Linked DNA regions of Oryzias latipes. The protein of the gene in region 1 purifies or fractionates together with the protein of each later gene. This does not show direct contact. Links are inferred from orthologs where the notes say so. Each region holds a gene or a part of one and is shown on either strand. Other genes may lie near its edges.

Region 1 (4,859 bases):
TGCATTACCTTTTTTCTTTTATGACCCCAATTAAAACATATAAGGGATGGGTGAAAATAATAATAATAATAATTGCTTTGAACAATAGCGCAAATACTTTATATTTAAATTTACTATAAACAACAAAGGAAATAGACACTTCATGGGTGCTAAAAGCTATTTGTAGTGATTACATAAACAAAAATGCAATGCCAAGTTCATTTATAGGCCACCTAATGTTTACCATAATATGTATAATCTGCAGTAAAAAAAGGAAAGCAACAAATTTAAAGGCTTACCTGTCTCGAGTAGCTTTGGCCAGTTTGTCCTCTGACTTCCTGTCATGCGTGTCCAACCCGAGCATGAAGCTTCCTCTGCCCAGCTGAGCCTCCGACTGCTCCAGTTTCTCCGACAGGTCAAACACCTGACCCGTGGTGTAGTCCGAGTTCTGGCCGTCCAAGAGACAGAATAAACCAATGTACGCACACTTATCACACAAAAGCCAGATAACAGAGTGTTCCATAGAAAGAACTTGTTACAGACTAGCCACAAATCGAACCATCTCTGAGCTGTCCCGAAGGAAAAGAAGTCATGGAGAAGTTTGCTTAAGGTGAGGCTGTGTTTATAGTAGAGCAGGTAATTAAAACACAATGCCATGGGGGGGGCCTGACTAGGGTGACAGTGTAGCAACTGACAAAGCCCGTCACCTACTGAGCAGCTCCTTCTTGACATCTAGTCAATACATCTTCATCCAGAATGCCAGCGAGTGAACTGTTTAGATAAGCCTGGTGTCTATTTAACCCAGCTCAGGACCACAATGCAAATTCATGTGACGGCCTTTCAGTCTTTAGAAAAAACTGTGCTCGAGGGGCGGGGGGCTTCTGGATGAGTGGAGTCAAGTCCAACTTTAATACCCATCATCTTCTTCTGCTCCAAAGTTCACAAAGACCTTATTACTAAAAACAATAAACAAGCAGGGCCAGCTAAAAAGCAGCAATAAATCAACACATCACAACATGTTGACTCCATGTCTGAATGAGTTATAGAGTAATAATTAACCATAAATCAAAATGTCAAACAATTAGTGAACATTTTGAGTTTTGAGGTGGCTTACATACCGTAAGAAGGCTGGAGGAACTTAAGGTATTGACCCAATATTTGTTCCAAAGGAGTTCCAGGAGCTTTCGATCCAGAGAAGACTTGAAGTAAGTCACCTCCAAGGCGTAATATCTGAATAGAGACAATCATAAAGAGTTGAAAAAAAAGATAATTCAGGAGCATGTTAAATATATGCATCTTTGATACATAAAGTTTTGATAAATAAAGTTTGATTGATTGATTTATTAAGAGTGGTTTAGTGCTTTAAATTTACTCACTGTTTACAATGAACACCAAAGTCTTCTATCTTGTTCAGCGGGATTGTTTGATATTCTGATGGTCCTTCATCTGGAGGTTTGTAACCCTGAAAATCCACAAGGAAAATGTTAAAAAATAATACAAAATAAAAAAAAAGAATTAGCACATTTGTTTAATCATTAACAAGTAAACAAATTAAGACATTCTGATGTATATTTATGACAAATATTTATTCAGATCCCTCCTAAAAAAACTAACATCAACGATTCGAACTTAAAATTTAATTTATGACTTCAATAAGTCATAACACCATGTTTCTCTTGGTCTTTGCTGTACCTTTGGGTATGTTCTGAAGGCACCTAGATTGACTTTCCCTGCAGAAATAGTCCGAGTGGGGTCGATCTGTAGGACACAAGATACAGTAAAACAGGAAAACAAAGTCAAAGGTCGGAATCCTCCAGAGACCACTGGAATCAGTTCACTAGGAGCCTTTTTCCCGCAGCTGTCAGTGTGAAAAAAACACACACTTAATTATACGACGCCCCTGGCGTCGAAGCCCTGCTGAACTAAAGGACGTGTAAATAGCATATGGGGTTGCAAAAGGAAAATAGTCAGTAGTGCAATGCCAAAACATGCAGTGAATGCATTAATAGATTTTCATTTACGTTCTTGTAATGTTTTTTTTTTAAAGACGAAACAGGAACTTTCCTCCTCATTTTTTAAAAATTCCACTAGCAGGAAATTACATTAAAATAACGTTATAAAAGTTTATACGTACAACAACAGCAACAAAAGGCTCCTGAAACTGCTGGTTGAGCATCTGAGTGCTCACGTCGATCCCTGACAGCCAGCATCCGTAACCCGGGTGACTGTGGTACCAGCCAATGGCATTCTCCAAACGGCCAACCTGGGGGGTTAAAAAGATAAATATAACAAAATTATTCATAATTATTTATAATACAATATTATAAAGTGTTTATTGTTTAATACAATGAAAAGGTTTTACTAAATCTGACGTGGCTTGCTTAGTTTCTAAAAAATACGGAAACTATTTATGAAAGGAAATAGACAGACTTCAATAGGTCAGTCGGGGATAGAAGTTATTTTTAAGCTTTTAAAAACAAAAAAATGAATATTATAAATGCTCTGCTATCCCCAAAGATAACTGGAAACAGCGGGACAGCAACTCAAGAAAATCCAGGCTGGACTTATTCCGGCTACCTGTAGCCCACCAAAAAAAAAAAAAGAAGAACAGTCATAACGACAATAGAAACTAAATAAAAGATTAGAACACTTCAATAGACATATTGACATACTGAACACAGAACCTATGACTAATAAATCTTAATAAGAGACAGTTTTTCAACAATTCCACCAGGAACTGTGTAATCTGTCAAGAAGAAGTAATTGCTGCTGTGTCATTTCAGTGTTGGTGTATGTTTTTACAATAAAATAACATGATCCCACCTGTTTGGCGTTTTCAATGTAGGCAGCCATGTATTCGTATGCTGCAGCCTGCGCGTTCACCCTGGTTTCTGTTCCCTCCACAGGCAAAGCGAAGCTGTCCATGATGATCATGGTCTCCCCGTCCACCTTCCCCAGCATGAGACCCATCACCTCCAGGTTCCCCCCTGACCTGGCATGCATCACCATCTTCAGCAGGGCCAACGCGGAGATTTTGCAGTACTTGAAGTAGTGGTGACTAATGATTTGAGAAAAAGAAAACACAATTAGTTTACGCGACACAACAAATAGGAATGAAGTCAATCAGGTTGAAAGTACTCTTTTGTCCACGGCTTCGCCGCGAGGATTTCTTGTTGTTGTTTTTTGTCGTATTTGTAAATTTCATCGATGCTCTGGACTTCCTGCATGCTGTTCGACAGCTCCCACGTTTTCTGAGCTGTACTACTTCCAGCCATGATAAAGTGTCAATTCAAAATACGAAGAATAAGCGTTTCGAACGTCAGTGACAACAACACAAACAAAGAAATTGTGTATATCCGTCTAAAGTAACAGGGCCAGACGTTCTCTTGCAACGGCAGCCATGACAGGGAACGATACCAAAACAATGACGTCGAAAGATTGAACCTTTCTTTGTTGATTTGGAAAAATACAAAAGTCGAAGTTTCGTATCTTTATGTATTAAAATGGATCATTAATAATATATTGAAAAAATCAATACAATTTATGTAAGAGTTAAAAGTTCTGCTAAATGTACCCATCAATTCTGGTACTGTCACCCCTCTGATAATGGTTTAGTCCAAAAGAGACGTCAGCAGACACTTGAGGATGCACTGGCATCTAGCGGTGAGACTTGTAAAAAGCAGACAGGTTTGAGAATATTTTTTATCCTGTTTTTAGAACTTTGTTTTTTATTTAATGCATTGTATATCTAATAAAGACCCTAATGGGAGATAACAGTTATTAATGCTGCAAAAAAAAAAACTTCTCGAAAAAACACATTAGCGAACGTCATTGGTCAAGAGTAAAGGTAAAACATCAATGTTACTTCGTGTTTGTCATCTTATAAAGCTTAGAAAGCACGTTTAGGATTTTCAAAGATATTTTTATTGAAATGCGATTAAGTTTGTATGATTACCACATAAACTTTAGATATACGGAGTTTTTTGTGGTTTCGTGTTTGCTAACTTCTTTAGCCTGTGCCAACCTTTGTGTCACGGTTGCCCATAGCAACGCTTGCTGCGTTGCCATTTTAGTGCGGCGAAAACATTCAGAATAGTCATAAAAATGTCTAATTAATTAAGTATGTATCCTTTAGAGTTAGAGTTTCATCTAAGGTTTCATTTTTATAGCTTTGTTCACTGCCAGGTTGTGCTGTTTGAGTTTATAATGGAAAACACCTAACTTTCAATTTGCATGCACCTGTATGCTGAGAAAGTTCTTGAATCTGACCTTGGACAACTAACTTTCTGTATGAATGTTTTTCATCATTTGCAGGTGATGTGCATTTTGTAAAACTCTAGCATCCACAAAATATGGAACCATATAGCTTATCATAAACAAGATGAAGTATTTGTGGTAGTTTTAATTTTCAATCAGTCCAATTATACTGGCTATTTATTTGCTATGTTTTTCTCTCTCTCTAGGTTTTAACTGAGGCTTAGTATCAGAGCGTGAAATGGAGGAACAGAAACCTCTTCTGGATCTGCGGCTGGACTTCAAATATCATGCAGCCAAGGTCAGATATCATACGATTATTATAGGATCATTTAAAGAGAATTTTTGTTGACTGTGTTACCTCTGATTCTCCATTCTGCCAACTTATTTTTCTATTTTTTATTCTTACATGTACCTTTTAAGGAACACGATTTAAAAACCTGTGAACCTCATCCACAACACCAAGGGCTTTCCTTACCTATTGATGATAGAGCATCCATAAAGGTGTGTCCTTGTGTGCACTATTTTTTTTTTTATATTGCCTTGTTCATACCTTTTATTTATTTATTTTGGGGTTTTTTTGCAACAGAAAAGACTGAGAGACGAGCTGAAAAAGGAATATAATC
Region 2 (4,359 bases), about 14 Mb from region 1:
GTGCAGGCTGCACACCTGCAGACCGTCCAGTTTGCAAGGCATCCTGGGATACTCGTCTTCCTTCCACTTGTTTTCGTCGGGGTCAAAGGTGAGGATGGAGTCACTGTAGTGGCCGTTGTAACACAAACCGCCAAGTACCATGATCTGTCGGTCCAAAACCGCCACCCCGTGGCCGCTACGCCCAATGGGCATGGAGGCCAGGATGGTCCACTCGTCGGTGTCGGGGTCGTACACCTCTGTGGACGGACACCCCTGCGACTCGAAAGACGCTCGCAGGATGACGCACACGCCTCCAAACACGTACAGCTTCCCGTTGTGGGAGATCATCTTGTGGAAGCACCGAGCGTAGTTCATTTTGGACTTGTTCTCCCAGCAGCTGGCGTGCGTGCCGGGCAGCAGCGGGCCGCGGCCGGAGCGCGTCCTGTGTGAATCTGAGCCGCCCGAGCTCCCTCCTCCGCCGCCGCCGCCCGCCTCCCGCCCGGGATCGAACACGCACACTTGCTTGGACGTGGAGGATGAGGTGATGCCGCCGGTGATGTACAGCTTCCCGCTCAGAACCGTCCCCTCGTGGCCGTACTTGTTGACAGGATAAGGATCCACGAACTCCCAGCGGTCCTCTGTGATGTCATATCGCTCGGTGGAGTAAAAGGTCTCGTCTCGGGTGCGTCCCGCCACCGCGTAGATGTACTTTCCAATGACGCCAACAGCAAACTCCGACCTGCAAGCGACGCACACACACCAGGTGGAGTCAGAGAGCGTCGCGGGGTCAAAGGGCGGCAGTTTCCTCGGCCCCTCACCTGGGCACGGACATGTCCGCCATGCGCTGCCACGAGTTCTGCCGCGGGTCGTAACGGTAAACTTTAGAGGAGGCGTGGAATTCCCCGTCGGGCCCCAGCTCCTCCCCGCCCAGCAGGAAGGCAAAGTTGTTGATGATGGCCAGACAGTCCGGTCTGAGCGGCACCTGAGGGCCCTCCAGCTCCCACCACACCTGCAACCAGAGTCAGTGAGGCGTTCAGGCGCCGCCGGTCAGAGCAGACGCATAACAACGACTAAATTCTGTTCCGTTACAGCTGAATGAATAGATTAAAGGAAGAGAAGTCAGGATTTAAAGGACTTTTAAACTAATCTAAATATAACAAATACAGATAGAATTACAAGAAGGATTGTTCTTGACCTTTGGCCGCTGCAGCAGCAGGATCTTGCTGTTGACCATGCTGTGGCCGATCATCCCCCTGAAGACCGTCGTCTGCGGCCGCACGGAGCGGATGCGGTTGGACTGCGTCTCCACCAGAGGCTGCTGGTTGACATCCTGGAAGTAGCTGAGGGCCTGATCCACCTCCTGCCTCAGCTGCCTGGAGTACCGGTAGAACTCAGACGTCTTCACCTGAGAGGAAAACATTAGAGAACATCAGAAGGGATGCATGGTGTTCTGCAGAGTGGGAGGCATTATGGGTAGCAGCGCCTTGTAATAAAGGGAAATATAGAGAGAAGCCACAGTGGGAGAGACAGACATGAGCTGGAGCTGCAATGCACTCATATAAATGAGGGCAGTCATTCAGAGGGGTGACATTCTGAGCTTCTTTTGGGTTTAAACTTCATGAAGGCGCCCCACAGAGAGGGGAAGCTCTGCTCTCTGAAACTGATGGTGGAGCTGAAACAGCTGCTCCTCTAAGCTGAAAACCACAGAGATCCACATCTGCTGCAGTCAAAACATAAACCACAAATCTGCAAACGTGTCAGCCACCACCTTCTCGAAGATGTTGGCGGGCGTCATGAGACAGAAGCGGATGGACTGCACGATGGTGTCCGTGTGCCTCCAGCGCCGCCGGTCGTGTCTCAGCCAGGCCTGGACGGCTTCGTACAGCTCGATCTCGGGGAAACGGCTCAGGGCGTCGCTGTTCAGGTACGCCTGTTCAGACAGAAACACGAGAGATGCATTATGGTTCTGACCTTACTGCAACGACTGCTGGCTGCTTAACCTACGTTTAGTTTGACCTAAATTAGTTCAAATGATCAAGTCTGTTCTCAAAAAGACACACAAACAAAAATCACACTGCTGAGTCCGAGGATTTCATCAGAATTCAGCCTAAATCGGATGTTTTGGTTTCCTCTCTGTACTGACAGTTCCTATCTGGCACGCTTAACGCCTGTGTGGTGAGCTAGAAAGGCTGCCGTGGTGCAGAGAGCGGGCAGTCGACCTCTGGTAGGAAGACTGCAGGTTCGATTCCTGCCTTGCCTGAACCCCCCCTTGCCTCTGGTGGAAGGTTGGCCACAGTGTTCGGCAGCGGAGCCGCCATCGGTGTGTGAAACGGGACTGTGACTGTAAAGCGCTTTGGACCTTCGGGGGAGGTAGAAAAGCGCTGAACAAGTAAACGCCATTTACCATTTAACGCCTGTGTGGTGAGGCAGAAACGGATCATTTTAGCGTTTGATCCTGGACCCAAACAAAGAAGCAGAACATGGAAACACGATGCAAAAACTCAGGGCGTCCTCAGAGAGGAGCGGCATTTCCAGATTACACCCAGATCCTGTTGCTGGAGAAGCTTCTTGTTTCAGGACCAGTTTAGGTTTAAAGATGAGATGGAATCGAGCTCTTCTCCTCATCGTTTGACTGAATCATTTTGTTGCCTGACCTGACCTGCTGTCAGCGTTCGGCGGCCTCATGCACGCGCTGAGCGTCTGTCTGTGGCAAACCTGCAGTCTCTCGAGGCTGAGGTAGGACAGGAAGTCGGCTCGGCTCATGAGAGGCACAAAGTTGTCAAGCAGGAAGTTGTCGAGCTGCTCCTGGACGCCCTCCACGCCCACGCTGAAGTCCTCCAGGAGCCGCATGACCTCAGCACAGTTCTCCAGGCAGATCTTCGCCAGCAGGAAGGAGCAGCAGAACTCCACCGCCTCGGTCAGCTGGACGTACATGGCCGCCTGCCGGGTCAGAACAGGTGTATCCCGTCAGCTCTGGTAAAGCTACAGCTTTCTGTGTCGTGGCGGGGATCCAGTTACCTGCAGGATCTCCTGCACGGTGGGCATGCTGAGCTCCAGCGAGCCGTAGTACATGAAGCGCAGGATGTGGCCGAAGCCGGCGGCCGTCAGCCCCTTCATGTGGATCTTGTCCTGGTCCCTCTCCCTCATGTCTGCAGTGAACATGACCCGGAAGTAGTCACTCTGAGTCGCCAGGAGCGCCTTGTGGGCCTGAAGGAGAAGAATCAACACATCAAGTCCTCTGGACCGTTCACTGGCTGAAGCCCAGCAGCAGCAGCAGCAGCAGCAGCAGCAGCGGCAGCGATGCACACATACACAGTGAACTCGGGAACACAAGGAGTTCATTAGCAATTCACCTCTGAGTTGTGGGCGAGACTGTTGGCATGGAGCAACCCCGCCCCTCTTCCCTCCGTGCATAATCCCGCTATCTTAAAGCTCCTCACAACCCCAAGCTAACATTAGCGGTACAACAAAAATTGTTAGCAATATCGTAGCTGTCCATCCGTCCAGTTCTGATCCAGATTCCAGTTCAGACCATGGAAACAAAGACGTTCGTGGATCTGTTTGTCTGACAGTGGATGATCAGAATGGAGCGGAGCAGGAAGACTGTAGCCTTCCCAGTGCAGCTTCTACATCACAAATACGATTGTTTCCAAACAGCATTCGTTCCTCTACTCCTGACTTACAACCATTTAAATAAATAAATACTCAGAAATGTAACTTTAAGCTTGTTTTTCTTCATCTACATCCTCCATCATGAGGAAAAAGCCACAAAAACATGTTAAAAACACCAAAAACATCTATCTTTTCCAGTGAGTGGGTCTTTAAGGGCCACTTTCCTGCTTTACTTCCAACAGCCCTGCTGGGGAAACCCCTCTAAGAAACACACCTGATGCAGGTGAACAGCAGCAGCAGAGGCAGGGATAACAGCACAACTGAATGCAGCTGTGCAGCTCAGCGGTTTGGGTTGGTCCGCCCCAAAACGCCTCTGCTTTGACCTCAGACGAGGCCTCTGAAGAAACCACACGAGGAGTTCAGGAGCGCGTCTCCAAACCCCCCCCCCCCCCCCCCCCCCCCCCCGTAAAAGTCCCCTCCACGGGTTCACTAAACGGTTCCTCACCTGGAAGTGGTGCTCCTCTATCAGCAGCGTGACGTCCAGCAGCAGGCGCTCCTCGTAGAGCGCCCGGAAGCCCGACGACACGCTGCCGTCGTGCACCTGGGACAGGTACACCTCCACATCCGCCCCCGACATCACACACCTGTGGGAGAAGGCGGAGTGAGAGGGGGACCGTGTTCCGGCTGCTCCAGCCCCCGCCCCAAACACCCCCCATGACCATCACGCCCACCCTCACTGCTTTGATGGACACACACACACACACACAC

Evidence for each region.
Region 2: the proteins of cops5 (region 1) and klhl15 purify together in Homo sapiens (affinity purification with mass spectrometry; 3 studies listed by BioGRID and IntAct, with this or other methods). This does not show direct contact. The link is inferred for Oryzias latipes from reciprocal best matches to the Homo sapiens genes COPS5 and KLHL15.

The regions. Positions count from the first base shown.
Region 1 is NC_019878.2:17,008,784-17,013,642, reverse strand, and holds the start of cops5 (COP9 signalosome complex subunit 5), read right to left. Parts: upstream 3,404-4,859; 5' UTR 3,255-3,403; coding exon 3,118-3,254; intron 3,038-3,117; coding exon 2,803-3,037; intron 2,243-2,802; coding exon 2,114-2,242; intron 1,738-2,113; coding exon 1,672-1,737; intron 1,442-1,671; coding exon 1,356-1,441; intron 1,210-1,355; coding exon 1,098-1,209; intron 428-1,097; coding exon 279-427; intron 1-278. Other genes in the region: cspp1 (centrosome and spindle pole-associated protein 1), read left to right, coding at 4,475-4,534, 4,657-4,737, 4,823-4,859. UniProt on the Homo sapiens protein: Probable protease subunit of the COP9 signalosome complex (CSN), a complex involved in various cellular and developmental processes.
Region 2 is NC_019878.2:2,976,120-2,980,478, forward strand, and holds part of klhl15 (kelch-like protein 15), read right to left. Parts: intron 4,236-4,359; coding exon 4,097-4,235; intron 3,187-4,096; coding exon 2,998-3,186; intron 2,920-2,997; coding exon 2,695-2,919; intron 1,910-2,694; coding exon 1,748-1,909; intron 1,385-1,747; coding exon 1,175-1,384; intron 989-1,174; coding exon 798-988; intron 719-797; coding exon 1-718. UniProt on the Homo sapiens protein: Substrate-specific adapter for CUL3 E3 ubiquitin-protein ligase complex.